7 linked regions of the Macaca fascicularis genome follow. The protein of the gene in region 5 interacts with the protein of the main gene of each other region in a pairwise test. Links are inferred from orthologs where the notes say so. Each region holds a gene or a part of one and is shown on either strand. Other genes may lie near its edges. The genes, in order: NVL, PELO, PPM1A, WDR83, HSPB1, BAG3 and FXR1.

What was found.
Region 1: the proteins of HSPB1 (region 5) and NVL interact in binary tests that used the Homo sapiens proteins (3 or more experiments, as listed by UniProt). The link is inferred for Macaca fascicularis from reciprocal best matches to the Homo sapiens genes HSPB1 and NVL.
Region 2: the proteins of HSPB1 (region 5) and PELO interact in binary tests that used the Homo sapiens proteins (3 or more experiments, as listed by UniProt). The link is inferred for Macaca fascicularis from reciprocal best matches to the Homo sapiens genes HSPB1 and PELO.
Region 3: the proteins of HSPB1 (region 5) and PPM1A interact in a two-hybrid assay, tested with the Homo sapiens proteins (2 studies listed by BioGRID and IntAct). The link is inferred for Macaca fascicularis from reciprocal best matches to the Homo sapiens genes HSPB1 and PPM1A.
Region 4: the proteins of HSPB1 (region 5) and WDR83 interact in binary tests that used the Homo sapiens proteins (3 or more experiments, as listed by UniProt). The link is inferred for Macaca fascicularis from reciprocal best matches to the Homo sapiens genes HSPB1 and WDR83.
Region 6: the proteins of HSPB1 (region 5) and BAG3 interact in binary tests that used the Homo sapiens proteins (3 or more experiments, as listed by UniProt). The link is inferred for Macaca fascicularis from reciprocal best matches to the Homo sapiens genes HSPB1 and BAG3.
Region 7: the proteins of HSPB1 (region 5) and FXR1 interact in a two-hybrid assay, tested with the Homo sapiens proteins (2 studies listed by BioGRID and IntAct). The link is inferred for Macaca fascicularis from reciprocal best matches to the Homo sapiens genes HSPB1 and FXR1.

Annotation. Positions count from the first base shown.
Region 1 is NC_088375.1:82,137,697-82,142,446, forward strand, and holds the start of NVL (nuclear valosin-containing protein-like), read right to left. Parts: upstream 3,143-4,750; 5' UTR 3,093-3,142; coding exon 3,036-3,092; intron 1-3,035. UniProt on the Homo sapiens protein: Participates in the assembly of the telomerase holoenzyme and effecting of telomerase activity via its interaction with TERT. Involved in both early and late stages of the pre-rRNA processing pathways.
Region 2 is NC_088380.1:58,213,398-58,216,404, reverse strand, and holds the end of PELO (protein pelota homolog), read right to left. Parts: 5' UTR 2,273-3,007; coding exon 1,547-2,272; intron 1,255-1,546; coding exon 823-1,254; 3' UTR 634-822; downstream 1-633. UniProt on the Homo sapiens protein: Component of the Pelota-HBS1L complex, a complex that recognizes stalled ribosomes and triggers the No-Go Decay (NGD) pathway.
Region 3 is NC_088381.1:128,107,896-128,112,714, forward strand, and holds the start of PPM1A (protein phosphatase 1A), read left to right. Parts: upstream 1-1,617; 5' UTR 1,618-2,073; intron 2,074-2,812; exon of another isoform or gene 2,813-2,877; intron 2,878-4,819. UniProt on the Homo sapiens protein: Enzyme with a broad specificity. Negatively regulates TGF-beta signaling through dephosphorylating SMAD2 and SMAD3, resulting in their dissociation from SMAD4, nuclear export of the SMADs and termination of the TGF-beta-mediated signaling.
Region 4 is NC_088393.1:13,054,514-13,058,979, reverse strand, and holds the start of WDR83 (WD repeat domain-containing protein 83), read right to left. Parts: upstream 3,057-4,466; 5' UTR 2,990-3,056; coding exon 2,887-2,989; intron 2,804-2,886; coding exon 2,683-2,803; intron 2,601-2,682; coding exon 2,495-2,600; intron 2,210-2,494; coding exon 2,161-2,209; intron 2,078-2,160; coding exon 1,951-2,077; intron 1-1,950. Other genes in the region: WDR83OS (PAT complex subunit Asterix), read left to right, coding at 3,377-3,426, 3,547-3,652, 4,155-4,252, 4,347-4,413. UniProt on the Homo sapiens protein: Molecular scaffold protein for various multimeric protein complexes. Acts as a module in the assembly of a multicomponent scaffold for the ERK pathway, linking ERK responses to specific agonists.
Region 5 is NC_088377.1:51,430,453-51,434,234, reverse strand, and holds HSPB1 (heat shock protein beta-1), read left to right. Parts: upstream 1-1,317; 5' UTR 1,318-1,357; coding exon 1,358-1,721; intron 1,722-2,425; coding exon 2,426-2,489; intron 2,490-2,607; coding exon 2,608-2,797; 3' UTR 2,798-2,920; downstream 2,921-3,782. UniProt on the Homo sapiens protein: Small heat shock protein which functions as a molecular chaperone probably maintaining denatured proteins in a folding-competent state. Plays a role in stress resistance and actin organization.
Region 6 is NC_088383.1:128,681,388-128,685,420, forward strand, and holds part of BAG3 (BAG family molecular chaperone regulator 3), read left to right. Parts: intron 1-2,115; coding exon 2,116-2,442; intron 2,443-4,033. UniProt on the Homo sapiens protein: Co-chaperone and adapter protein that connects different classes of molecular chaperones including heat shock proteins 70 (HSP70s), e.g. HSPA1A/HSP70 or HSPA8/HSC70, and small heat shock proteins (sHSPs), e.g. HSPB8.
Region 7 is NC_088376.1:92,786,581-92,790,613, reverse strand, and holds part of FXR1 (RNA-binding protein FXR1), read right to left. Parts: intron 939-4,033; coding exon 867-938; intron 458-866; coding exon 309-457; intron 88-308; coding exon 1-87. UniProt on the Homo sapiens protein: mRNA-binding protein that acts as a regulator of mRNAs translation and/or stability, and which is required for various processes, such as neurogenesis, muscle development and spermatogenesis.

The sequences.
Region 1 (4,750 bases), on a different chromosome or scaffold from region 5:
CAGTGAGCTATGATCGAGCCGCTGCACTCCAGCCTGGATAACAGAACGAGACTTTGTCTCAAAAATAAATAAATAAATAAAATAGCCTGAGCGTGGTGGCTTGCACCTGTAATCCCAGCACTTTGAGAGACCAAGGTGGGAGGATTGCTTGAGTCCAGGTGTTCCAGACCAGCCTGGCCAAGATGGTAAGATCTCATCTCTATGAAAAATTTAAAAATTAGCCAGACGTGATAGTGCATACCTGTGGTCCCAGCTACATGGGAGGCTGAGGTGGGAGAATCACTTGACCCCATGAGTTTGAGGTGGTAGTGAGCACTGTTTACACCACTGCACTCCAGCCTGGGTGACAGAGTGAGACCCAGTCTCAAAAATAAAAAATTAAAATTAAATTAAATTAAATATATAGCTAAGTGAAAATTTATTTAAAATCTTGTGTAAGACTATCTTCAGGCCATGTGTATAAGGTGTATATGAAACATAAGTAAACTTCATGTTTAACTTGGGTCCCATCCCCAAATATCTCATTATGTATACACAAACATTCCAAACCCTGAAAAAAATCAATCTGAAACATTTTTTGGTCTTAAGCATTTAGAATAAGGGATATTCAATTTGTACTTTTATAATGAACCGAAGTGAAAGCTACAGAGGAAAACTGATAATGTCAAAAGTTGAAAAGCAGTCAAGTGTGAGGACAGAGAAGAGGCCACTAGATGCAGTAATTAGGAGTCACTGCTCAGAAACTTGAATAAAGTGAAGGAGCAAGTTGTGGGATGCGGGAACATCCAGAGGAAGAGTAATTCAGAGTGAGTGAACAACGAGAACAAAGGTCCTGTGCTTGGCATGTTTGAGAAGGTCTGTGTGGTTGGAACAGGAGACGAAAAGTAAACTAGGACAACAGAGGCCAGAATATGCAGGGCTTTTCTGACTGGGTTTTACTCTAGATGTCTGTGACTCCACTGAAAGGTTTTGAGCAGGGCTATGGCAAGCTCTGATTTTTCCCTTTTTTTTTTTTTTTTTAAATTATACTTTAAGTTCTGGGATACATGTGCAGAACATGCAGGTTGCTACACAGGTATACAAGGGCCATGGTGGTTTCCTGCACCCATCAACCCGTCATTTACATTAGGTATTTCTCCTAATGCTATCCCTCCCCTAGCCTAATTTTTCCCTTTAAAAGGATGTCTTGGCCATGCCTGTAATCCCAGCACTTTGGAAGGCTGAGGCGGGCAGATCAACTGAGGTCAGGAATTCAAGACCAGCCTGGCCAACATGGTGAAACCTCGTCTCTACTAAAAATAGAAAAATTAGCCAGGCGTGATGGCATGCACTTGTAATCCCACCTACTTGGGAGGCTGAGGCAGAAGAATCGCTTGAACCCAGGAGACAGAGGTTGCAGTGAACGAAAAAAAAAAAAAAAAAATTAGATGTCTCTGGCTGCTCTGTGGGGAATAGGCTTTAGGTAAAAGCAGACTCAGAAAGACCAGTTAGGAGGCTATTGCAATAGTATAAGGTAGAGATGATGGTTTGGACTAAGATGGTTATAGGGAAAGACAGTAAGAAGTACTTGGAATATATTTTGAAAGTAAAGCAAACCATGCTGTTGATGGATGGTATACAGGAAATGAAAGAAAGACTCAGAATGACCCTTAAGGCTTTTGGCCTTAACAACTGGACAAACGGTGGTATCACTTACCGAGATACAGAACACTAAGAAAGGGCAGGTTTGAAGGAAGAAAAAATCACAAGTTCCACTTGGCCATTTTAATTTGGAGATACGCTAACTAGGCAGCTGGATATATCAATCTGTACTTCAAGATAAAATCTGGACAGCAGATACAAATGTAGCCGTCATAAATATATAGAGGACAGGACAGCAGCTTGCACCGGTAATCCCAGCACTTTCGGAGGCTGAGGACTGATCGTTTGAGCCCAGGAGTTAGAGACCAACCAGAGTAACATAGTGGAACCCCGTCTCTACAAATGATAATAATAATAATAATAATAATAATAATAATAATAATAAATTGGCCAGATGTGGTGGTGCACACCTGTAGTCCCAGCTACTGGGGAGGCTGAGGAGGGAGGATTGCTTGAGCCAGGGAGGCCGGGGGTGCAGTGAGCTACGATTGTGCCCATGAACAGCCACTGAACTCTAGCCTGGGCAACAGAGCGAGACTGTGTCTCAGAAAAATAAAAATAAAATGAAATAAATATATAGATAATAGAATACATAGAACTATTCAAAGGTTATTAGACTAAATGAGATCACATAGGAAGTATGGATAGATAAGAAAGGTGTATGAGGAAAGAGGAGGAAGGGAAGGGAAGAGAACAGTGGCTCAGAGCACTTCCAACATTTACAAGTTGGTAGGAAAAGATGGGTCCGAAAAGGAGATTGTTTAGGGGCTGGTGAAGTGAAAGAAAAACAAGGAGAATGTGTAGCTCACCAATTCCTAAGTGAAGAAAATTCTCTCCCGCCTTTTAACTCAGACTGCTTGTTTACATTCTAAGGTATTTGCCACACACTGCTTTTTACTGATGGTCATGAAAATGAGAAAACCGTAGGCAAAGTGCCTGTTACTGTTGCCAGACCGTGTTATCTCGTTTTAGTGTGTAAGTTCCTTGACGGCGGAAATTAACGTATTATTTATGCCACCCCTTTTCAAGGACCTCTTACAATGCGAGCGTTTGAAGACCATTCCTGTACTAACTTCACAAGTCAAAGAGGTTAAAATTCAAAGGCTAACTCCACTCTACTGAATGATCTGCGCTGAAGACGACCAGACATCCTCGGCAGCCCCACCAAGCTGCACCCTCCCACTGTCCCCGGTTTCTGCTGAGACTCCGCACCAACGTGGGTAGGGAAGGCCCCGGCACCACCAACGAAGGAGGAACAGACGCACGCCCAGACCCAGACTGGAGAAAAGAAGACTAGTTGAGTTCCACGTGGACGCCACCCGAAAAAAAGGGGAGTGGCACCCTGGGGCAGTGATCGGGGCCCTTGGCGAGACCGAGCGGTGCAGAATACACACCTGGATGACTCGTTGCTTGAGTTTATTATCTACGAACCGGGCGGGTCTAGGCTTCATCGTCTGGGTCTTCCAAAGCCACAGCTCGGACCGTCAGCTCCCAGTCAACCGGGGGCCTCGTAGGGGTTGCCCACCGCGATCGCCGGGCCAGTTGCACCTGAAAAGCGCCCCTCCTGGGGCCTAGCCCGCGCCGTTTCCTTCAGAATAAAAGTAATCGAATGGGGGGCGGGAAATTCCGAGGAGCGGGAGAAGACTTGCAAACCTCAGGGAGTTTCTAGGGGCCTTATTTTGCAGGCCTGCCCAGTGGGCCCTGGAAGATTAGGACCCCTTTGAACGCGCTCAACTTTATTGGTTCCCCGCCGGGCGAACCAGGCTGGAGGAAGTTCCTACCCCGGCGCAGCGTGGGGACACGCTGTCAACGCGTCGGCTGGGAAAGTTGGTTTGCTTTCCTCAGGCGTTCCGGCCGCACCTCGTTCTGATACAAAGCTAGTCTTCGCAAAGCCAGCGGCGGTAGATACTTGGAGTGATAAAATCAGGGTAAAAACACACTACCAGCTGTTGCTTGCTTTCCCACGTAGTTACCTTACATTTTAGAGGCCCAACAAAAGGGCTAGGTGAAAAAGAAAAGGACGGATTTATCCTTATAACTGAGGATAACTAAGTCATTTTTTACTTTCAGAACTCGTTTTACTTACGCTGTTATCATCGGCAGGTAATTTGTTGAATATATCCAGTGCAAGACTCCTTGGCCCAGATTTTATCAAACATTTGTATTTGTCCCAAGAAGTTTATCCTGCACTTAGGGAGACACAAAGGGATAGTTACCAAGCACTAAAAAAAAAAAAAAAAAAAATATATATATATATATATATATATATATATATATATATATATATATGGGCTTTAGTTTCTGTCTTCTTGTTTATTTCTTCCGTGTTTTGAGTATTCTTATTTCAGGTCCTACTTGGCTCATGACAAGGTGAAGTGCAGTATATTAAGGGGCAGAGGGGAAGAGAGAAAATGGAATTAAGAGAATCACACACAAGGGTGTGAGGCCGGGCGAGGTGGCTCTCACCTGTAATCACAGCACTTTGGGAGGCCAAGGCGGGCAGATCACTTGAGGTCAGGAGTTCACGACCAGCCTGGCCAAGATGGTGAAACCTTGTCTCTACTAAAAATGTAAAAATTAGCACTGAATTAAGTATTAGATTTCTCACCCAAAATATTGGTCCCTTTGGTTGCAACTTCATTTCTTCTTCACTATATGTACTGTTTTATTTTTATTTTTTTTAGTTGTGGTAAAATATAAGAACATTTACAATCTTAAACATTTTAAAGTGTGCAGTTTAGTGATATTAATACATTCATAATATGCAAGCATCACTGCCATCTAGCTCCAGAACTCTTTTCATCTTGTAAAACTGAAACTCTATACTAATTAAAAAATAACTTCCCATTCCTCCCTCCCCCCAGCCCCTGGCAACTGCCATTCTACTTACTGTCTTCATGATTTTGACTACACTAACTTCCTCATATAAGTGGAATCTTCCCATATTTGACTTTTGTGAGTGGCTTGTTTCTTAGCTTAATGCCCTCATATAGCATGTGTTAGAATTTCCTTCTTTTCTTCTTTTTTTTTTTAGAAGGAGTCTTGCTCTGTTGCCCAGGCTGGAGTGCAGTGGCACAATCTTGGCTCACTGCAACCTTCACCTCCTGGA
Region 2 (3,007 bases), on a different chromosome or scaffold from region 5:
CAAAGAGCTAAAGTCCTGACTGGGAATGACTTCCAGCTTTGCCACTAATTAGCCACATAACAAGCAAATCACATACTTCAATCTCATTTTAAAAATAAAGATGCCTCAAGATTATTTTGACAATCCCTAGCAGATCAAAGCTCTAAAAATCTAAAAATAACTGATTAAGTTACCCTCTAAATCAAATATGACTAATGCTAACAACAACAAAACAAAACCAAGAATTTCCTTTTAACATGATTGGTTCAACAAGCCTTTGAAGAAAAATATTTAAAACTTGTCTTCAAGTCTACTAATTGTACGGCAATCATTTAAAATAGTAAAACTATTTAAATCTAAAAAATATGTAGTGTGTGGAGGTGGGGAGAAAAGGGATCATTAAATGCAATGCAAGAACACCATGCAGAATTAAAATAAAGAAATAATGCAAACTGAGGATAAGTTAGCAAAAGCTTTTTCTAAGGAAAACTGTTTCAAAGCATGCAGTGTGAAATTTTACAATTTACCCCAAACAACATACTATATAGGCATCGTTATTAAATACACACATTTTCTGTTTCCAAGTACTACAGATAACTCGTAATTCCTATAAAAATTACCCAATTTAATAAAGATGGTAGTACGTGGAGATTATTTCCTTTTAGTTTATTGTTTAAATACATGTTCTGGCAATCACAAAATATCTAGTGTAGCCAAATACATAAGAAATCCCTGTATGAATAAAAAAGTGCCATTCTTGCAGCTTTCTGTCACAAGGAAGCTGAGAAATGTACTGTAACAGTTTAGGAGACACAAGATTGTCTCAGTTTTAAGTTTCAATCATTAATCCTCTTCAGAACTGGAATCATCCTCTTGGTCAGAGAGTTCGGGAACAGGGAAGCGGAGAATGGCAGCTACCCCAGTCAACTGGCTGAGCTGTTCCCCAGAAACGTGAAGACTAGAGAATATCCTAACGGTGCCTGCATTCTCTTTCACACTGTCCACCAGCCTCACATACCGGCTCCGTGTGGCTACATCCTGATGCCTGAAGAGCTCATCGCTGATGAGCAATGTGTCAATTGCCATGGCTTCATTGGCCTTCTCCACCTGCTTGAGTCCATAGAAAGCTCGATCCGGTTCATGTTGTAACATTTTATAGAAGTCATCCAAGGCCTTGACTTCCCCAGCAGCTTTAGTGTCTGAAAGGCGGCTAGCTACAGTAGGGTCACAAAGGGCCTCTTTCAGGGAGTACTTGTGTCCGGAGGAGGCATGTACCTAGAATCACAATTATAAAAGTTAGGCAAAAGAATCTCTCAGAACACCCATTGATCAGCCCACAAAGGCTTAAAGCCAAAAGCGCTAATAAGGCTTCATATGTTTCAGCAAAGTTGACTCCACAAATTTGCTAGATATCTAACATTCTCTTTTTTTTAATTTCATTATCTCATGAAAATTCCAGGTAAGTAAAGCCTTTCTCCTCTTATTTTTCCCAGTTCTAAAACTTTAGGAGTAGTTTATACCAATCCCTCTGCCCATTCTTAACTATCCCTGGGTAAGATTGTTTTACCTGAAGAAATTTGGACCGGTTTTCCAGGAGCAGTTTGTTGTCGGTCTTCACTGCTTGTTGAAACATGTAGTCGCAGAACTGCTCCCTCACAAATCCTGGGCTGGCCACCAGGATGCACTTTACAACATCAAAGTGTATGTGGCGCTGGATAGCCTGGACCACCTGTTCATAGAACCGCTCCAAGGCCCGGTCATGCTGAGAGCAATTGCCTTTCCTTTTCCTAGGGATGTTCACCTCCACCTTGGCCCGAGTGAGGGTCATGCTGGGAGTGACTAAGCAGATATGGGCGAGGCCTTCCTGCATGACCACAGCTGCCACATCAGCGCTCCAGGCTGGGTCACAGGCCTGCTCGATGCGCTCCAGAACCACACTATCCCACTGTTTCTTGGCTAGGGTGAACTGGCGGTTGGGCTCCAGCTCGATAGTGTGGTAAGCCCCCATCTTGACATACTCATTCTCTTGGATGTTGGTCCCCTTAACCCGCAGCTGGCAGGCTTGAGAGTCGAAGTCGATGGCCTCCACGCAGAGAGTGAGGGTAGTGCGGACCCGATTGCTGCCCACGCTGCCCGTGGAGGACTCGGTCTGTACCTTGCGGATGGTGGAGGCGCGCAGGCTGTCGCCCACTTGCACGAGGTTGTAAGTGTGCCACATGTCCTCAGGCTCCTCGGGGACCAGGGTCACCTGGCCTGCATTATCCTTCTCGATGTTCTTCCTCACGAGCTTCATGACCAAGGAAGGGGCTCACTGACAGAACTACAGGAACCAAGGAGGTCCTCACCTCCGCCCCGTAGAGGAGACGGGAACGCAGGCCGGGAAGGGGGCGGGGCCCGGTTTCTATGGGCACTTGCCTGGTGGGAAGGAAATACTCTTGCTTCGACTCTTGCAGCCTAGGGGAGCACTTCCTCTATCCTTTCCTCGCTCAGTCTGCGGGCTCGCTGCGCCTAACAGGCACGGGAAACACAGCAGCGAAAATCGTCCACTCCGCGGTTCCCGCTGGCAGCCCGAGGCAGCGGGCTGACGTAATGAAGGCGCATGCGCAGCCCGCGTCCCGCGACCCGACGCACGTCCACGTCCCCAAGGGGGAGGCGGGGCCGCAGTCCGCGCACGCGCAGGCGCACTAAGCTGTGAGGCGCTCGGGACGAATGAACTCCCTAAAGAAGGTGCAGAGTGGCGGCGAGTCCTTTAGTTTAATGCCAAACTTGAACTTCCTAAGTTTTCTCTTCCATCCCTGTCTGTGAAGAATCCGGGGAGTGTGTGAGTGCAAATATTAGTTTTACCTGGCTGCGGCTGCCACTCTGAAACGCTTCCTTCTGGGTAAATTAAATTTCAAAACTTAGCAGTAAAAGTAGCTCTCAGAAGTGCAGATTTGGCCCCAAAGGCCCAAACTATTGTCGTTTTTGCACTTGCCTTATCCGCACTCGGACGCTACAAGCCTGTTGGAGCTGGTATTTAGACGCAGTT
Region 3 (4,819 bases), on a different chromosome or scaffold from region 5:
CGTTCCTTGACGATTTGGTTTGCCAGTGACTGGCGATTATACATTTGATCGTGTTGTTAGGTTCTAGGTCTAAAAGTAAAGGAAACAGAACCTTCCCCAAAGTCATGTTGAGAAAATTGGAGATGGCTTTTTACAACTTTAAAAGCAGTTAAATGCTTGCTGAATGCCAGAAAGAATGAATAGTTTGCTTTTGATCTAAGAGTTGGGGCAACAAAATGGTTTAGGAGATAGAAAGTAGTAAGGTGCAAATTGCTGTAGTAAGCTCCTCAAGTAAAACAGAGAGGCCTTCAACATAAATTTACCTTTTTTACTGGCCAGAACTCAATTTGGCCAGTAGAAGAACCTGCCTTCTACAGTGAAGTCTTTGTTTTGTGTGTGCATCAGAACATCTTTTAAAAATACGGACTTTTCTTATAACTTCTTCTCCTGTGAATGTGTAGGTCAAATTTGTGAACCGGTTAAGCCGCTGACAAGAGAGGGAAGGGCACCCCAGCCAATGGGAACTCATGCTGGTGATGTACTGCTCCTAGGCTGCGATTCATTGGCTGCCTAGGGTTTGTCATTCTATACCCGGCGTCTGCAAGCAGCGTGGGTCGGGTTTTCTAGCTAGCTGAACTGGATTTTGGCAGCCGGCACGTGCAGTTTCTATTAACTTTAGCTCATCTCTACCTCTTAACAGAAGCAGCTGTTATGTTTCTGATTATTCTCCTGATTTTGAAAAATCCTATTTCCTTCACCTACCTCATTGGAGGTCATTGGAGGTCCCCTGGGACAGAATCACGTGATTATCTAACATGTGCAAATAAATACAATGTGGAATCCCCTGAGCTACAGAGGGAAAACCTGCCAGAAAGAGCATGTGCCCCGTGCGTGAATCAGCTGCACTCGCACGTGGGTGGGCGGTGGTAGTGTGCGTGTCTCTGCCCTTCGGGACGCGAGGTGTGTGGCCGTGGCACCTGCTTGGGCTTCATGGGGTCACTGGGAGAGGAAGGCTCTGGAGGCGTGGGACTCTGGGGTAGGGGGGTCTGGCAGCTGCCTGGGATCCATCATGGGTTCGAAGGGCAGCGGCCAGACCGCGACGGCGCCCAAGAAGGGTGGACAGCTCCGGGTCTGTGATCGGGGCTGCGTGTACACCATCTTCGCAGGGAGTGGGGTTTGTATCTGCAGGCCGGTAGAAAGCCAGGGCTCGGGGCGCGGACGCCGTAGGGGTAGCTTCCAAGTCCCTACTTGGCCAAGGGCCGGGCATGGAGGGGCTGTCCATCTACTGGGCACCGAATAGTCGCACATTCTGTCCAGTCCCTGACGCCAGAACGTGAAGGCCCGAGTCCTCGCTGCTATCCGGACCCCGCTCCCTTCGGCTTCAGCCTGGTGCTCCAGGCCGCAAGGCGACGGCGGCGGCAGCAGCGGAGAAAGAGGCTGGGTAGGGCAGTGACGTCATCTGTGGCGGCCCCTCCCCCGCCCGCCAGCCTTCGCCGCAGTTCCTGCCCAACGACATCCGGGTCTCTGTAGCTGCTCGCCGCGCCGCAGCTGTAGCGGCGGTGGAGCCAGCGGGGCGGGGCGAGCGGAGGGTGGGGGAGGGGCGACGCGGTCGTGAGCGCGCCTGCGCGGGGCCGCGCTAGAGGCGGCGGCGGCGGCGGCGGCGGCGCTAGGGACGGGAGCGCGCGCGGGAGCTAGAGAGCAGTGGTCTCGGCGCCGGTCCGGCCCGCAGCTTCGGGTCCTCAGGCGGCTGCTGCTCCGGAACGGGTGGTTGGGGAGGGGGGGTGGGGGGACGCTAGACAGGTGAGGCGCGAAAGCGATGAATCCTCGGCTCTTCCTCCTCCTCCTCCGGGACCCGCTCTCTGCCTCCCTCTCCAACGCCCGGATGATCTGAGCCGCGAGGGCGCCGAGAGCCGGGGGCCCGGACGCAACCCGGCTCCTCCCCTCCTCCGCCCCCTCCCCGGCCTGACCTGGCCCGCCGCTGCCGCGGTGACCCCCTCCCCGGCTGCCGCCGCCGCCGCCGCGGTGACCCCCTCCCCGGCTGCCGCCGCCGCCGCCTCGGCCGACCAGGGACCTGCCCGCCTGCGGCTGCTCCGGGTAAGTGCGGCGCTTGGGCCGACGGCGGGCGGGCGGGCGGTGCGGGCCTGCGCGGCGGCGGCGGCGGGCAGGCCTGGGGCCTGTAAACAAGCCGGGCGTCTGCCCGGGCGCTCCCGGGAGGAGACGCGACAACTCCACCCCCTGGCCGGCCTCCTCCCCCGAGCCGGGCGGCGGGCGGCGAGGGGTTAACGCTCGGCGAGGGCGGTGGCGGTGAGGCGGGGGCGGGGTGTTTGTGGCGGCGGCGCGGGGAGGGGGCGCGACCCCCTGGCCGTCCGCGGCCGGGAGGGGTGTTTGTGGCGGCGAAGCGGGCGAGGGCCGCGGGCCAGCCTGGCCGGAGAGCGGCCTGCGGAACTTTTCCCGAGCGGGGAGGGGGCGTCCTCCCGCCCCTACCCTCCCGGGCGCGCCGCCCCTGCTGTCCTGGGCTTTGGCCCCTGGGAGGGAGGCGGGGAGATTTCTTTTGAATCGGGCTTAGCCTCGAAAAACCTAATTCTGTAGAAATTGCTTAAGGGTTTACAGGGGGCAGGGCTGAGAAGCTCCTTCAGAACTCAAGTCAGTGAGTGATGCCTCCAGTTCATTCATTATTAAGGCATCGAAAACATCCATTGAAGTAAATTCCGATTTCTCATCCTTTTAACTACGTAAATTGGTTAAAACTTCTTGATGTTAGAGCTTGGTTGAGGTATGGTTCTGTTCTGCTTGTAGATTTTAATTAAACTTGGATCCTTTTCTTGAAAGACAGCTGGCTGTGGAGAGCCTTCTACCAACTGCAGTTTTAGATACGTTTTGAAAATTTCATCACCTGAGGTATTTTTCTTCTCTCTCCTCAAACACCACATGGTACTTATAAATCCACAAAGGTCATGCTTCAGTTGTCCAAGCCATGGGGTCTGTGTGCTACCCCCGCCTCACCCCGAGTTTCCTGCTAATTGGAATAATGAGCTGAATGTGTTTCAAGAAGTGGTTGGAAAAGTGTGAGAGAGAGGTGTCATTTTCTCAAAGGAAATGATTTTGACATTATTGAGATAAATTAGAAATTTTTAAACATTGTTGTGTAAAACAGTCTTTTCAAACTTGCACGTTGAGGTTTTAAACACAACCACTTTACTGAGTGTGTTTCGCTCCGAAAAGTGGAGGGATTTGTTGAAACACCACTCTGCTGAGACTTAGGGTTCCAGAGCACTCAGGAATTTAGCAGAGTTTGGTCCCCAACTCTCTTTGAAATACTTCACTTTTATACTTTTATCTTGCTACATATTGGGCCTTTTCCAAAGATTGTTTTTCTGTAACTCCTTATTTTACAAATGAGAAAATTGAAAATAAGGAGATTTTCTGTTCTTAGATGTTACTTTTATTGACTTAATGCTTTCTTTACCAATAAATAATTTGAAGCACAAAGTAACATTTCCAAGTGTTACAGTTTTGTTCTTGTTATGTGTAACTTACATGTATCTGATTAAACTTTCAGTCATTTAAGGATGATTACTTTTAACCTGGAAGTTTACAGCAGTACCACATTATTGAAACTATAATGAACTTCCTGCACCACATGGCAGTTGCTTAAGACATTTTAATTTGATATCATAAAACATTTTTAGATCAGTGAAGTAATTACATTATGGGAAAGGTATATTAAGACTGATAATGTTTGAAGTTAACTACCTCCATTATATTTGAGAAATAATAGTCATCAAATTCCTTTTTGTTTGTATCTTTTTATGTATTTTGTATACATATTGTATATTTTTACATGATGGACTGAGGTATATGACCGGTTGAAGGGAACAGTGCAGTAGGAGACAAGGATTGTTTAGTCATGGCTATGCTCCAAAATATCTGTGTCCATGGACAAGTCCTTTAACCTTTTGAGTTTCAGCTTCCAAATCAGTAAAGCCAGTTGGGCAGATTAGATTATCATATGTACTGTCCAGTTATTACATTTTTAAATTTTCTTATCAATATTGTGTGACTAGTCACCATACCTTTGCCAAATAAATACCTGTTATGTGTGAGGCACTTAGATGTTTCGGTGTTCTAAGGCTGGATTTCTTTCTCGGTTCTGTTTTATTTAACAAATTCTAAGTTGGTGATGGTTCTTTAGAAAAGCTATTCTTGTAAGCTATTCTTGATTTTTCTTTTGGGATTGGGATGTATAGAGAAACTCTTGAGAGGGAGAAGGATGGAGATTTCATGGGAGACAGAGGGTGGTTGAGACTACAGGTTTGAACAAGCACAGGACCCTTGGTAGTCTGATGTGAAGGATATTATAAAAATACATTATGAAGGTTTTTTCTGTCACTTCAAGCTGGGTCTTGTTAAACCTTTGAAAATTCTGTAATACCTCATTTGTTTTTGAAAGAAATCTATGGCAACATCATTTTGTCATGTGGTAAATATTGCTAAGCAGTTACTAAATACCTATAGTCTTTGAGTTTGTTCAGATTATACCTAGGCCATTTGTTTACTCTAATAGCTAGTAGAATGTACAGCTGATTTTGCTTTAACTGTGTGTGTGCTTATTTGTAATTTTTAATCAAAGAGTGGCATATATCCACAACGAACTTGTTACCTCTGAAATGCCCGTGAGAACTGGATTAATTTTTTAAGATGTAAATCTATGGTCATGTAGAAATAATGTAGCAAGGTGATATTTTGATGATCCCCTCAAATGATTATCTAACTCTTGCCTGGGCACCTGACTCTGAGTCAGTATACTCTTGAATACTTTCCATCCTTAATCAAATCAGGA
Region 4 (4,466 bases), on a different chromosome or scaffold from region 5:
GAGTGGAATTCTGAAGCTCTGGCCTTGAGACTCAGGCCCAGGGCCAGTCAGGTCTTACTGCATCGTTTCCAAGACCCACACCCCTTTTCCAAACCCTTGGCGACCTTCCGATTCTCCCTTTTCTTTCTTTTTTTTTTTTTTTTTGAGAGAGTTTTGCTCTTGTTGCCCAGGCTGGAGTGCAATGGCCTGATCTCGGCTCACTGCAACCTCTGCCTCCCAGGTTCAAACGATTCTCCTGCCTCAGCCTCCTGAGTAGAGGGGATTACAGGCATGCACCACCATGCCCTGCTAATTTTGTATTTTTAGTAGAGACAGGGTTTCTCCATGTTGGTCAGGCTGGTGTTGAACTCCCAACCTCAGGTGATCCGCCCACCTTAGCCTCCCAAAGTGCTGGGATTACAGACATGAGCCACCCCACCTGGCCCAATTCCCCCTTCTGTATTCTCCAGCTCCTCCTCCTCAGTACTCAGTCCCACCACTTTCCCCACTACCCAGCACCATCATCTAGACTGCTCTGGTCTCCCTGCACCCCCACAGCCACCAGAGGGAGCACTTTTCAAAGTACAGTTGATCCATGAACAACAGGGTTTGAACTGAAGCAGTCCACTTATATGTGGATTTTCTTCTGCCTCTATCAGCCCTGAGACACCAAGACCAACCCCTCCTCCTCCTTCTCCTCCGCCTTCTCAATGTGAAGATCTTTATGATGATCTCTTCACTTCCACTTAATGAATAGAAAATATATTATTTCGGCCGGGCGCGGTGGCTCACGCCTGTAATTCCAGCACTTTAGGAGGCCGAGGCAGGCGGATCACAAGGTCAAGAGATGGAGACCCTCCTGGCCAACATGGTGAAACCCCGTCTCTACTAAAAATACAAAAATTAGCCAGGCGTGGTGGCGTATGCCTGTAGTCCCAGCTACTCAGGAGGCTGAGGCAGGATAATTGCCTGAACCCGGGAGCTGGAGGTTGCAGTGAGCCAAGATCACGTCGCTGTACTCCAGCCTGGCGACACAGACTCTATCTTAAAAAAAAAAAAAAAAAAAAAAAAAAAAAAAAAAAAAATTTCCTTATGATTATTTTTTTAAATTTGTTTTGTTTATTTATTTTTGAGACGAAGTCTCGCTCTGATGCCCAGGCTGGAGTGTAGCGGTGCAGTCTTGGCTCACAGCAAGCTCTGCCTCCCGGGTTCACGCCATTCTCCTGCCTCAGCATCCCAAGTAGCTGGGACTACAGGCACCTGCCACTACGCCCAGCTAATTTTTTGAATTTTTAGTAGAGACAGGGTTTCAGCGTGTTAGCCAGAATGGTCTCGATCTCCTGACCTCAGGATCCGCCTGCCTCAGCCTCCCGAAGTGCTGGGATTACAGGCGTGAGCCACCACACCCGGTCTATTTTTATTTAACTTTTTAAATCGTTTCATTTTATCTTTTTTTTTTTTTTGAGACGGAGTCTCACTCTGTTGCCCAGGCTGGAGTGCAGTGGCACAATCTCGGCTCATTGCAACCTCCAACTCCCGGGTTCAGGTGATTCTCCTGCCTCAGCCTCCCAAGTAGCTGGGATTACAGGCTCCCATCACCACACCCGGCTAATTTTTTTATTTTTAGTAGAGACGGGATTTCACTATGTTGGCCAGGCTGGTCTCAAACTCCTGACCTCAAGTGATCTGCCCTCCTCGGCCTCCAAAAGTGCTGGGATTATAGGTGTGAGCCACCATGCCCGGCTTGATTATTATTTTATTTTTTAGACAGTCTCACTTTCACCCAGCATGGAGTGCAGTGGTCCCTCAAACTCTTGGGCTCAAGTGATCCTTCCACCTCAGCCTCCCAAGTAGCTGAGACTACAGCTGTGTGCCACTGTGCCCAGCTGAGAGTAGGTTTTAATCTGAGCATGGGGGCAGCTATGATTCCCAGTAGCACCTCGGCTGAGACCAGGTCCTGGCTCCACTCACCCTGTCAGGACCTCGTGGTCTGACACCTTCACACTGGACACGCCATCTCTGGCCTCATCCAGCGTTTGCACTGGCTCAGGCCTCCGTGAGCGGCAATCCCAACAGCGGATACTGGAATCAATAGAGCCTGTGAGGCCAGCATGATGGTGAGGTCAGGTTTGGAGGGGAAGGGCAGCATCCTGGACCCCCCTGCGTAGGTCCCAGACTCACCGGACAGGATAACTGTGGCCTCTTCATTAAACTGCACCGTGTTCACCTTCTGAGAAAGTTATTGCCACTCAGAGGAGGCTGGACTTTGGAGGACTGGGATAAAGGCAGGGTTCCCAGTGTCGGTTAAAGCAAGGGCAAAGGTTAGAAGGGGAGGTGAAAGGTTTTGGGGGAACAGCAAGGACAGGGGTTGGTGACTGCCTAGCCTGGCATGCGGAGCGGGGGATCGTCATCTGGGGAAGGGATCCTTACGGTGTAATGGGGGTGGCTTCATCACCACCTGTGCGCTAATACGGGTCCCCTCCGCTCGAATGAGGGTCTCCAGGCTTTCACTCACCCCTGCATGGCCCCGGAATTTGCGCACGACCTGTCCTGATGCCACATCCCACAGAACCACCGCCTTGTCCCCGCCGCCGGAGCAGAGACTGCTGTTGTCAAAGGAGCTGGAGTAAAGGAGGAAGAAGATCAGCATCGACCTCGGATCCCAGCCTCAGCGCTCCCATCCCAGCCTGGCCCCCGGCTCACCCGGCCGCATCCAGCACCTCGTAGCCGTGGCCGCTGTACGTCCGCAGCAGCGTCCCCCGAAGCGGGTTCCATAGCTTCAGGGTCTTGTCACTGCCGCACGTCAGGCAGTAATTGCCATCCACTGGGGAACACCAGGCGGGGGTTACTGGGCCGCCGACCTCAGGAGGCGGGAGGAGGACCCGGAATGAAGACTAAGGCGCTCACCATTAAATCGTACGGCTCGCACCGCCCCTTGCCCGCAGTCCAGCGTCTTCAACCGTTTCTGCGGCAGCTCCGGAGGCCGCGGCTTTGGCTCAGGGAAAGCCATAGTCCCAGGACCCCTTCCTCGCCGCCTTAAATCGGTCTGTATGGAAGATTCCGCGCCTTCGAAACCCACGCTTGGGTGTAACCTTATTATTGTTCTTCCTGAACTACTTCCTGTTTATCACTTCCGGGTTCATCATTTTGGCATTTGGGTGCTCTTCTTGGAACTATTGAAGCCCGATTTCAGGTTCTTTTCCCCATTTCCCCTTTGCAAGGAAGGCTTCTGGATTCTCCTAAATTTCCGATCTCTGGGTAGGAGGAGTCCAAGCCTCTGTCATGAGGAACGGAAATGTGAGGGCCTCGGGTGTGACTCTAAAATCCGCCCTCAGCTTGCACGCCGGAAGCTGCAATTTCTGCAGCGGAAGAGGCGTGACCTGGCCTTCGACTCGCTATGTCTACTAACAATATGTCGGACCCACGGAGGCCGAACAAAGTGCTTAGGTGAGGACGCCAGCGTCGTGGCCACGGGTTCGGGTTGGGGGTGTGGATCGGGGCCCTGGGAAGCGGCTGTCTATCCCGGGGACAGGACCTGAGCGCCCCTGACCCTCGAGCCTGTCGCAGGTACAAGCCCCCGCCCAGCGAATGTAACCCGGCCTTGGACGACCCGACGCCGGACTACATGAACCTGCTGGGCATGATCTTCAGCATGTGCGGCCTCATGCTTAAGGTGGGCGGGATTGAGCTTCTGTGGGTGTAGTTAGACCTGAGAACGAGGCCCGGGGGCGGGTTTGGAATGAAGCCGGGCGTCTTGTCATTGCTGATGAGGCAGGACCTGAGATCGGCCGGGAGTGGGGCTGGGATGACGCTGGGCCAAGAAAGCCCCAGTCTTTGGTGAAGTCAAGAATTCGGGTCAGGGCGGGGATGTGGCAGATTGGTCTGCGGGTGGGGCCAGGCTTTGAAGCAACTTGGAGGGGACTCGTGGAAAGGGGCAGGGTCTTAAGCATGTGGGATGTCAGAGTCTTGGCCCTGAGAGACGCAGTCCAGGCAGTAGGACTAGAAACCATGTATCTGGAGTATGCCATGAGCAGGTGGGACTGAGGAGTTCCGGGGGGCAAGGTCCCAGCTGCATCAGATGGAATCAGTGGGCAAGATCTGGTGTCTGGAAAGGTGGCTTCGGGACTCATTGTTGTGCCTTTCACTGACCTGCCCACCCACCTACCTTTCCCCAGCTGAAGTGGTGTGCTTGGGTCGCTGTCTACTGCTCCTTCATCAGCTTTGCCAACTCTCGGAGCTCGGAGGACACGAAGCAAATGATGAGTAGCTTCATGTGAGACTTGGCCTAGAGAACGAGTGACTCTTGAGTAAGGGGTGGGGGGACTCCAGCCTGCCCATCCTGGACTGACACCTCTCTCCTGTCTCAGGCTGTCCATCTCTGCCGTGGTGATGTCCTATCTGCAGAATCCTCAGCCCATGACGCCCCCGTGGTGATATCAGCCTAGAAAGGTCACATTTTGGACCCTGTTTATCCACTAGGCCTGGGC
Region 5 (3,782 bases):
AAATCTCCATTTTCCAGATGGGGAAACAGAGGCATAAAGAATCTAACTTGCACAAGTTCATCTGCTTAGTGACAGAACCAAGATGTGAATTCAGGCAGTCTGGCTTCAAAGTCCACACTCCTAACAACCGTACCAGATTACCAGATTGTTTTTTTTTTTTTTTTTTGAGATGGAGTCTCGCTCTGCCGCCCAGGCTGGAGTGCAGTGGTGAGATCTCAGTTCACCGCAACCTCTGCCTTCGGGGTTCAAGCAATTCTCCTGCCTCAGCCTCCCCAGCAGCTGCGATTACAGGCGCCCGCCACCACACCCAGCTAATTTTTGTAATTTTAGTAGAGATGAGGTTTCACCATGTTGGCCAGGCTGGTCCCAAACTCCTGACCTCTGGTGATCCTCCCACCTCAGCCTCCCAAAGTGCTGGGATTACAGGGGTGAGCCACCACACCCAGCCCAGACTGCTTTATCTTTGTATTTGTATTTATTCATTTACTTATTTTGAGACAGGGTTTTGCTCTGCAGCCCATGCTGAAGTGCAGTGGTGCAATCCAGGTTCACCAAAGCCTCTACTCACCAGCGTTCAAAGGAGCTCACCAGCGTTCAAAGGAGCCTGCTGCCTCAGCCTCCAGAGTAGCTGAGGCCACAGGCGTGCACACCATGCCCAGCTAATTTTAAAAAAAATTTTGGTAGAGGTAGGGTCTCACTATGTTGCCCAGAATGGTCTCAAACTCCTGGCCTCAGGGGACCCTTCTGCCTTGGCCTCCCAAAGTGCTGAGATTACAGGCATGAGCCACGCACCCGGCCCCTTTTTAAAAATTTTTTTAACAGGTCCTTGCTCTGTTGCCTAGGCTAGAGTGCAGTGGTAAGATCATAACGCACTGCAGCCTCGAACTCCTGGGCTCAAGCACCAGCCTGCTTTATATCACATTCCATCTCACACGCTTGTGATTCCAATCCTGCCGCTGCCACTTCTCAGTTGTATGCCCCAACCCAACCTGCCTGGCTCTGTCCTCCTTAACAAAAGAACGGCCCTGGCCACGGGTCACAGTCGGCAGCTCTTAAGCACCAGGGCCGGCGAGTGCCCTGCCGTGGCACGGCTCCAGCTTCGAGCTCTCGAACTCATTTGTTTTCCTTAACGAGAGAAGGTTCCAGATGAGGGCAGAACCCTCTTCGCCCCGCCCACGGCCCCTGAACGCTAGGGGAGGAGTGCATGGGGAGGGGCGGCCCTCAAACGGGTCATTGCCATTAATAGAGACCTCAAACACCGCCTGCTAAAAATACCCGACTGGAACCGCATAAAAGCGCAGCCGGGCCCAGCGCCCCGCACTTCTCCGAGCAGACGTCCAGAGCAGAGTCAGCCAGCATGACCGAGCGCCGCGTCCCCTTCTCGCTCCTGCGGGGCCCCAGCTGGGATCCCTTCCGCGACTGGTACCCGCACAGCCGCCTCTTCGACCAGGCCTTCGGGCTGCCCCGGCTGCCCGAGGAGTGGTCGCAGTGGTTGGGCGGCAGCAGCTGGCCAGGCTACGTGCGCCCCCTGCCCCCCGCCGCGATCGAGAGCCCCGCGGTGGCCGCGCCCGCCTACAGCCGCGCGCTCAGCCGGCAGCTCAGCAGCGGGGTCTCGGAGATCCGGCACACGGCGGACCGCTGGCGCGTGTCCCTGGATGTCAACCACTTCGCCCCGGACGAGCTAACGGTTAAGACCAAGGATGGCGTGGTGGAGATCACCGGTGAGTCCCCCTGGTCCTGCAGAGGAGGGGAGGAGGCTAGCGGGGCGGGCAGGGCCGGGGGAGGGGTGCGGTTGAAACGGGGGTCCCGGGGGCCTGGGGAGTTAAATGTTAGCCCAGCACCGGGAAAAACAGGATCCCTGATTCCTCTGCTCAGGAATTGGGAGTGCAGGTCGCTTCTAAGGGCGCTTTGTGCTCTGTAATCCCAGCGCTTTGGAAGGCCGAGACGGGAGGATGGCTTGAGGCCAGGAGTTCAAGACTAGCCCGGGCAACATAGCGAGACGCCCCCCAACACTACAAAAAAATTAAAAAGCAACCAAAAAAATTTTTTAAAAGACCATCAATGAAGAGAGAAAATGCACCTTTCCACAGAGCCCCCTCCCCACCCACAACCCCATCCCCAGATAAGCGGGTTCCCTGTTTCTAGCCGCGGAGAGGGCGTGCGTGCGGCTCCAAGTGCGCCTGGGCACTGCTCACTCCCCAGCTCGGCGCCCTGCTCCATTCCTCCCAAAACTCTGAATCGAGGAACTTTCCGGAAGTTTCTGAGAACCCGGACAGGCGGGCACGCCCCCACCCCCAACCCCCTCCGTTAATCCCTGCCGGCCTGCAGTCCTAGCTGCTTCCAAGCAGGAGGTGGGGCCTCTGGCCTGGCGGGGCCGAGAGGCGGTCCCCTCCCCCATAGTCTGATTTCCCTCTTTCCCCAAAAGGCAAGCACGAGGAGCGGCAGGACGAGCATGGCTACATCTCCCGGTGCTTCACGCGGAAATACACGTGAGTCCTGGCGCCAGATCGGGGTGGGTGGGGGGCGGGGGGCGGGGGTCAGGGAGGAGGGCACAGGGACCCACCCAGTGTGTAATGTAACGCTCGCCTTCTCTCTCTGCACGTCCAGGCTGCCCCCCGGTGTGGACCCCACCCAGGTCTCCTCCTCCCTGTCCCCTGAGGGCACACTGACCGTGGAAGCCCCCATGCCCAAGCTAGCCACACAGTCCAACGAGATCACCATCCCGGTCACTTTCGAGTCGCGGGCCCAGCTTGGGGGCCCAGAAGCTGCAAAATCTGACGAGACTGCCGCCAAGTAAAGCCTTAGCCCGGATGCCCACCCCTGCTGCCGCCACTGGCTGCGCCCCCCCACCCTCAACCTGTGTGTTCTTTTGATACGTTTATCTTGTTTTTCTCAAATAAAGTTCCAAGTAACCCACCTGTCACTGGCTCAGACCCTGGTATTTGTGGAAGGAAGCCTCAGGCACCTGCCATTTGCTGGCTTCCACAAGTCACCTTTACTCAGGGTGTACTGTGTGCCCAGCCCCGTGCTGGGCCATGTTGGTACACTGATGTAGGTTGCTGGACACGGGCTGACTCACATAAAGAGAGGTCGTAGGGCCGGGCGCAGTGGCTCATACCTGTAATCCCAGCCCTTTGGGGGGTTGAGGCAGGAGAAGTGCTTGAAGTCAAGAATTCTAGACCAGTCTGGACAATGTAGTGAGACTCTGTCTCTAAAAAATAAAAATTAGCCAGGGTGTTACTGCATGCCTGTAGTCCCAGCTACTCAGGAGGCTGAGGCAGGAGGATCGCTTGAGCCCAGGAGTTGAAGGGTGCAGTGAGCTAAGATCGTGCCATTGCACTCCAGCCTGGACAACAGAGCAAGATCCTGTTTCAAAAAAACAAAACAATCAAAAGCTCAGAAAGAGTGAGACCCTGTCTTTAAAAAAAAAAAAAAAAAAAAAAAAAAAAAAAAAAAAAAGGTCATGATTGCAAGGTTATGATTGCAATTAAAGCTGTAAAGTCGGGAAGGAGGAGGAACTAGGAGAAGCACCTGAGGCTTGAGTTCCCAGGAGCACCTAGGCTGGGTCCCAGGTGAAGGGGCACAGAGGTAATTGAACTTCCCCGCAGAGCTGATGGGAGGATTACTATGTCAAAAGCTTGGCGTCAACTTGAGCACACCCCAAGGGCACCGCAGTGGACCTGGCAAGCTTTGAGATATCTGTCTCTCACTGCCACACCCCCTGAGGCCAGGGCATCCCTGTTGGCAGTCACAAGGGAACTGGCAGGCAGAACTGGGGTGAG
Region 6 (4,033 bases), on a different chromosome or scaffold from region 5:
GTGACACATGTCAGTAGCTGCCCTCCTGGGAAAGGACCCTCAGCGCTCGGGGACTGTTAGGACTTCTGTTGCGCAGCCCCAGCTTGCTGAGAGATGGCACTGCCCAGTGAGTGACTGGCCAGCCTTGTTGTCTGAAATAAGATCTTTCCTGCGGTACATCTGGAACTTGGCCTTCTCAAGGGTCTGAAAATAGCCAGGCCACTGAAGGGAGAACTTCAAGAGAGGGCATAAGAGAAGGACTCCAACTGCTCCTTGCCCAAGCAGGCTCTGTTGTGTTGAAGAAAAAGTTCTTCAGTGATACTTGTTAAAGCACAGTCATGAAGATTTATTCAGGGCCATCAAGATAGGCACAGGGACCATGGCAGTGGGGTCTTGCAATTGCGGGGAGAGACTGGGTGCAACTTCACGTACAGCACAGGCGCGTGGGAACTGATAGGGAGCAGTGTGGGGGTCAGTGGATGGAACATTAGAAGAGGAAGCATCAGGGCTAAGGGCGTTTCTGGCTACGCTGACCAAACAGGATTCTTGCTGAAGACAGGCCAGGGTGATTAGACAGCACCTGGGGATGATGGAGGCTGAGGAAGCTGATCAGATAGTGAGGCTGGGGAGGGGCCTTCTGGCTAAACTGTCTTAACAGTGTCTTTTGCTAAAACTTGACTTTACAAGGAAGTGCACAGATGGGCCTAGGAGAAGCTTCAGAAGCCTAAGGTTTGGCCAAGCAGAGAATCTTTGTCAGTTGGCATCATTAGGCGGCACAGTTAACCCTGGGTGCTCCTCTCCCCCTGCGCTGCCTCTGCATCCCTGTCCTTCCCCGTCCTGCAGATTGTTCTTTTTTTTTTTTTTTTGAGACGGAGTCTCGCTCTGTTGCCCAGGCTGGAGTGCAGTGGCGCTATCTCGGCTCACTGCAAGCTCCGCCTCCCGGGTTTACGCCATTCTCCTGCCTCAGCCTCCCGAGTAGCTGGGACTACAGGCGCCCGCCACCTCGCCCGGCTAATTTTTTTGTATTTTTAGTAGAGACGGGGTTTCTTTTTTTTTTTTTTATTTTTTTTTTTTTGAGACGGAGTCTCGCTCTGTCACCCAGGCTGGAGTGCAGTGGCCGGATCTCAGCTCACTGCAAGCTCCGCCTCCCGGCTTCACGCCATTCTCCTGCCTCAGCCTCCTGAGTAGCTGGGACTACAGGCGCCTGCCACCTCGCCCGGCTAAGTTTTTGTATTTTTAGTAGAGACGGGGTTTCACTGTGTTAGCCAGGATGGTCTCGATCTCCTGACCTCGTGATCCGCCCGTCTCGGCCTCCCAAAGTGCTGGGATTACAGGCTTGAGCCACCGCGCCCGGCCGAGATGGGGTTTCATTGTGTTAGCCAGGATGGTCTCGATCTCCTGACCTCGTGATCCGCCCGTCTCGGCCTCCCAAAGTGCTGGGATTACAGGCTTGAGCCACCGCGCCCGGCCGAGACGGGGTTTCATTGTGTTAGCCAGGATGGTCTCGATCTCCTGACCTCGTGATCCGCCCGTCTCGGCCTCCCAAAGTGCTGGGATTACAGGCTTGAGCCACCGCGCCCGGCCCCTGCAGATTGTTCTAACAGTACTCCTGAGGAGGCAGCCCTTACTCCCCAGCCCACTTCTCTGTAAAGATTCCCAAACTGTGTCCTGTGTTTGGGCCCAGCACAAGCTCTGTGTTGCTGGGAAACGCGAGGGCCTTTTTAGAAACAGAGATGCTTGCTGTAATGTAGAGGTTGGAGCTGACCCCTGCTCCTGGAGCTTACCTTCTGATCCAGGTCTCTGAAAATGCGGGCGTGGGCGGCTCTCCTACACCCACTGCTGCCCTCGTTCACCCAGAAAAGAAACCTGTCTTACCAGTTTGGGGAATTGGAACCTTTCCTGTGCTTAACAGATACTTTTGGCTTTCTCCTGATGTCCCTAGTTCGTAAACTGTTGGCCAGACAGCAGGCTCTATAGGGGTAGAGGTTTGGAGGGTGCAGGGGCTGGGAGCTGGCTGACGCTGTGAGGCCCAAGTCACTCAGGAAGATCACAGTGCCAAGTGCCACAGTTTTCTCCGCCAGGAGGGTTCACTTCCCGGTTTCTAACGAGCCTGTGTTTCTCCACTTTTTATTTCAGGAGACTCCATCCTCTGCCAATGGCCCTTCCCGGGAGAGCTCTAGACTGCCACCTGCTAGGGAAGGCCACCCTGTGTATCCCCAGCTCCGACCAGGCTACATTCCCATTCCCGTGCTCCATGAAGGCGCTGAGAACCGGCAGGCGCACCCTTTCCATGCCTATCCCCAGCCTGGGATGCAGCGATTCCGAACTGAGGCGGCACCAGCGGCTCCTCAGAGGTCCCAGTCACCTCTGCGGGGTATGCCAGAAACCACTCAGCCAGATAAACAGTGTGGACAGGTGGCAGCAGTGGCGGCAGCCCAGCCCCCAGCCTCTCACGGACCTGAGGTAAGGAGAGGCCAGGCTCACGGGCCTGCTGGGGAGTGAGCCGCTGTGCTTCCCAGGCCGGGCCCAGTCCCCGAGGACACTGCCCTGGGCCAGGCACCTGTTCACATGCAGGGCATCTAGGCCTGGCCTGCAGCATCAGAGGTCACCCAGCAAAGACAGGGTGATAGCCCCATGTCATCCCCCAGCATCTCATAGGGCTGTTCTTCAGTGGGGCAGGGCAGGAATCACATGGCTTCTTTTTGTAGTTAAGGAACAGCTCGGAAGGGCACACTACAGCCTGCCTGCTCCACATGCACGCAGGTGGAGGGAGCAGAGCTGGGACCGGAAGCCTGACCTGCCTTCTGGCTCCTAATTTCCGTGCTCCTCATTCACACTGGGCTTTCTATTCAGAAACACAGAGATAGCTGTGTACTGTTTTGTTCAGTTCAATGCTTATGGATCAGTCTTAACCACTGGTGGAGCTATATTGATAGGAAAATGAGACCCCATGCCTGTCCTCACTGTGCACCACAGTTTAAAAAGAAATAAGGAGTCAGCAAGGCAACTGCTTTAAGACGGCATTTTAATCCTGAAGCCAAACATCTCAGGGATATGTCAATGGATTCTGTGCATTAATAGCTAAAAAATATTTAACCTGGTTCTTAGCTGAGATTTGAGGCATTCCTAGTAGGATTCCTGAGCAGTAAGCCCTCTCATTTTCCTGTCTGTAGATCATCCCCGTGTGTGTGTCGGCGTTGTTCCTGGGCACAAACTCCCATGTCCTATCTGCACCCAGAGTCACACTTGCCTCTCAGCTCCCTCTGAATCTGTTCAGCTTCACACCTGCTTGAGAGTGAAAAGTTACAGTTAATGTGGAATAGCAGAGGCTTTTTTCTTTTCTTAAAGAGCTAGTACCTGGCTGAGGCAGGTGGATTACTTGAGACCAGGAATTTGAGACTAGCCTGGCCAACATGGTGAAACCTCGTCTCTACAAAATATGCAAAAATTAGCCAGGTGGGGTAGCACATTCCTGTAATCCCAGCTACTCAGGAGGTTGAGGCAGAGAATTGTTTGAACCCAGGAGGCAGAGGTTGCAGTGAGCTGAGATCGCACCACTGCACTCCAGCCTAGGTGATAGAGTGAGACTGTCTCAGAAAAACAAAAACAACAACAACAAAAAAAGAAGTAATACCTATATTTATAATGGTTTTGCTGCAAGAAATCAAAGTGACATGTAAATCTGAGACATCTTCACAAATTTAAGCTAACAAGGCACTTAGAAGGGGAAATGCTCTCAATTTCAAGGTGAATAGAAGGTGGCCCAGCAGGGAAAGGGACTTGAGCTGCCTTGGGCCACACGGGATGCTTGCAGCTAGCTCCCAGTTGCTCAGCCGAGTTCTCTGTAGATTGGCAAAGAAAGGGTAATGAGGACAACACATCCCCTGTATGAGCGCTTCCTGTGTGCTGGCCTGGGGCTGAGGCACATGCCCAGGTGACTGACGTCATCTTCAGAGCAGCCCGGTGAGGGAGGGGGTGCTCTTCCTATATTTTGTTTTTTTGTTTGTTTGTTTTTGTTTTGAGACGGAGTCTCGCTCTGTTGCCCAGGCTGGAG
Region 7 (4,033 bases), on a different chromosome or scaffold from region 5:
ATCAGCTGTGTTGTTTCTGGATGGTAAAAAATTCTGCATGCTCCTACTGCTTTCTTAAAATCTTTATGTGCATTTTCATTAGCACACCTAGAGAGAAATTAATTCATGTGTAAGACCTCAACAGATTAAATTCAGAGGAGTTATAATACAAAGTCAGTGTTTCATTTTGACATCCCCCACTAAAACCTCTGTTCATTAAGATGATTTTCCATCACAAGGTTTTGATTGGGCATTAGGGAAAATGTTTTGTAGGACTGAAAAATCTTCTTAATTCACAGAACAATTCAATAGTAAATAAAATTACTCACGCCTCTCTCAAATCCTCAGGAACATCCACTGTGCATTTAAAGAAGGTATTTTTTTTGACAGTTTTATTTTGATTGACAGGCCGAAGTCGTTCGAATGTGACTATTTCATTGTAAGTAGCGTCACAAGCAGCATATTCAATGACATAAAACTAAAAGACATCAAAATACTTTAAAAATCCCATCTGAACAAAAATAATGAAGTTTAAATGAAGTTCTAATTACCTTGCTCAGCTTAACCAATGGACCCTCCCCCATGTGGCATAAACACTAAGCACAGCTTAGTTACATAAATCTGATTTGCCTAAACTAGATTATAGGTTCTTACAAGCATGAACCTTGGTGGTCCTTACATGCTTGAGGTGTACCTCTGGAGAGCAGCTTTGGTGTTTGCCAATACAGAACACAAACAGAAATAAATGCTAATGGAAATGTGTGATCAACTATTTCTCAGGTAGGCTTTCAGAAATAAAACTAACAGTTGAAATAACATTTACAAAAACCAAACACTGAGGTAATTCCTTAGAAACTAGTCACAAAGCAAGTGTGAAAATTACTTACTTCTCCTTTCATCATCCGAACTTTAGCCAACCACCATCCACATGGCTCTTGGTCATTTGCTCTTGAATATACCTGAGAAGAAAAAAAAATGCCTATATCCATTCATCCCAAAAGATTTCAATGCTGTAAATAATGACTTTTTATTAATGCCCAATCCCATTAAACTTAAGAATCAAAAATGCTATTTAAACTGGTATATTAAATGCAATTTAATGAAAGTGATATGTACATTTAAATTTACTACTTAAAAATAAAACTACACTTTTTTGGGCAATTTAGCTTCTTGGAAATTAATTCCACATTCATGAGGTTTACTAAACATAAGTATTATTTTAAAGAAATACTCTTACAAAGGAGTTTTAAATAATGTAAAACACAGGTCTTCCTGTTTCTGTCAACATTGTTAATATTAAAACTTGTTCTCAGAAAGTGATTAACCTAATTTTTAAATTCCATCGAGGATATGACATTTAGATCCCTTGCTGAAGAACCTAAATCAAATGAACTAAAAAAAAATTGTTTAACTGAAAAAAAAAATTACACACATTCAGTTCATCTAGCAGAATACATTAAGTATATTACAAAACTCCTATCCAGGCTGGGCACAGTGGCTTACGCCTGAAATCCCAGCACTTTGGGAGGCCAAGGTGGGTGGATAACTTGAGGTCAGGAGTTCGAGACCAGGCTGACCAACATGGTAAACCCTGTCTCTACTAAAATACAAAAATTAGCTGGGCATGGTGGCAGGTGCCCATAATCTCATCTACTCGGGAGGCTGAGGCAGGAGAATCACTTGAGGCAGGGTAATCACATCCAGGGGGCAGAGGATGCAGTGAGCAGAGATCATGCCATCGCACTCCAGCCTAGGCAACTAGAGCGAAACTCCATCTCCAAAACAAAACAAAAACTATCCACAAAAAAACAAGTCTTATATTCTTCATGTCTATAAATATCAGTTTTATTAATGCAATAGGTCACAGAAGCTTTTACTTGGGATTAGAGTTATTTCTTATGATACAGCAGAGCTTCTTTAATGCATTATATTTTCAATATAGAGAAAGGTAGAAAAGTTGTTTCTGAGAAGAAACTACTAAGAACCAATAAAAACCAAGATTGAATGCCTTTGCAGAGATGACCAAGGAAACCTATCAGTGGATATTAACAGACTTCTGGGAGATAAATGCAAACAACTAAAAACAAAGACTTTTTTAGCCTGAAGCTTCTATCAGGATGATTTTAAAGTAATCTTGGAAGTGGTAGGAATACTGGAACTGGAAATGAATAAACCAAAACCTACTAATGAACTTTACTGTACACCATGATTAGAAAAAAATCTATGAGAAAAACCAGTAAGTCCAATTTACTAATCAGGGTCCATTAAACTCAATTTTAGTTTTTCCATTTCTTTTATAAACAGATCTAACTATTCAAAGGGATCAATATCTCATGACTTATATTCTTCCTTAGACATATTCCAAAAATAAGAAAGTTTAACACTAGAATAAAACTCACCCTTATACTCTATTATATGTATCCACTGGGCCCTTTTATAAATGTAAGGAGAATCTAGTGATCTTATTTTTCCTATGTCTTGAAACACTTTACTATTTCATCAACATTCATCAGTTATTCTCAGCTATGCTTTAAATAAAGACTAACATGGAACAGAGGAATGATGGCATCACCTAGAGGATGCAACAGTGAAATAAACTGTTAATGTTCATACAGTTTCCTTACTGCATAGCCCAAGGTATCACATCTCTTTCAAAACAGTTCAAAAGATCAAAAACACCATCCTTGTAGTCTGCTTTTAGCTACCGTTGACCAGTTGATAATTATGAATTTTTCACTCATAATTGCGAAGAGAAGAAAAATTTACAGAGGAAGGCCTTTCTAATTAGTAGAGGTATCAGACAACAGATGCAAAGAGACAGCAGCACACTAGGTTCTACTGATAAATGTGAAATCATCTTACAAAGCAAAGTCTCAGACTATGAAGTCTTCAGATGGTGACATCTTAGATGAATATTCTCAAACAATGTATTTCTAAGAAGAGGGAAAGATGATGTGCATTCTCATCCAGTTAATGACTCAACTGAGACTGCAAAATCCTCCAACCAGAAACCAGATCATCCTGGTTTGCTAAAAGGGTATTAGACAGTGTTCTTTCATCTTTTAAGATGTTTGTGGTCAGGCGCAGTGGCCTACACCTGTAATCCCAGCACTTTGAAGGGCCAAGCGGGTGGACTGCTTGAGCTCAGGAATTCAAGATCAGCCTGGACAACATGATGAAACCCCGTCTCTACCAAAAATACAAAATAAATTAGCCAGGTGTGGTAGAGCACACCTGTGGTCCCACCTACATGGAAGGTTAAGGTGGGAGGATTGCTGGAGCCTGGGAAGTTGAGACTGCAGTGAGGAAAGATCGTGCCACTACACTCAAGCCTGGGTGACAGAACGAGACTCTGTTCCAAAAAAAACAAGGTAAAATAAAAATTGAAGATAAAATTTTAAGAAATGTTTGTATGCCGAAATGTACTTCGTAAGTGGAAATGTCAAAAGCAGATGTGCATACAAAGGTTAACTAGAAAAAAAAAAGACAATGAAATGCAAAAATATTCAGTAGATTAGTCAATTCAATTGACTAAAAATACTATAATTACAGCAGAGATGGCTATCCCTTCCTCAATAGAATGAGATGCCACTAAAAGTTCCAAAGTATTCAAGGACTGCATTCTGATAATCTAACTGTAAGAATAACCAGAATAAGCTAGAATTTATTAGACATATATTTTAAATCTGCTAGCAGTATTTGTAAGATTGGTATGTCCTAGGTTCATGTGTAACAGTGAGCAGTTAGTTACATTTAGACAACTGCATTCATTGTAGATACATATATCATCAAAATCTGGAAAATATGAAAAAGTTGGATTTGCTATGTTTAAACTCTTATTAAAATGTCTAATAAGGCCATGCGTGGTAGCTCACGCCCGTAATCCCAGTACTCTGGGAGGCTGAGGTGGGCAGATCACTTTGGCTCCAGAGTTCGAGCCCAGCCTGGACGACATGGAGAAACACCATCACTATGCAAAGTACAAAAATTAGCCAGGCATAGTGGCATGTGCCTGTAATCTCAGCTATTTGGGGGCCTGGGGTGGGGTGGAAGG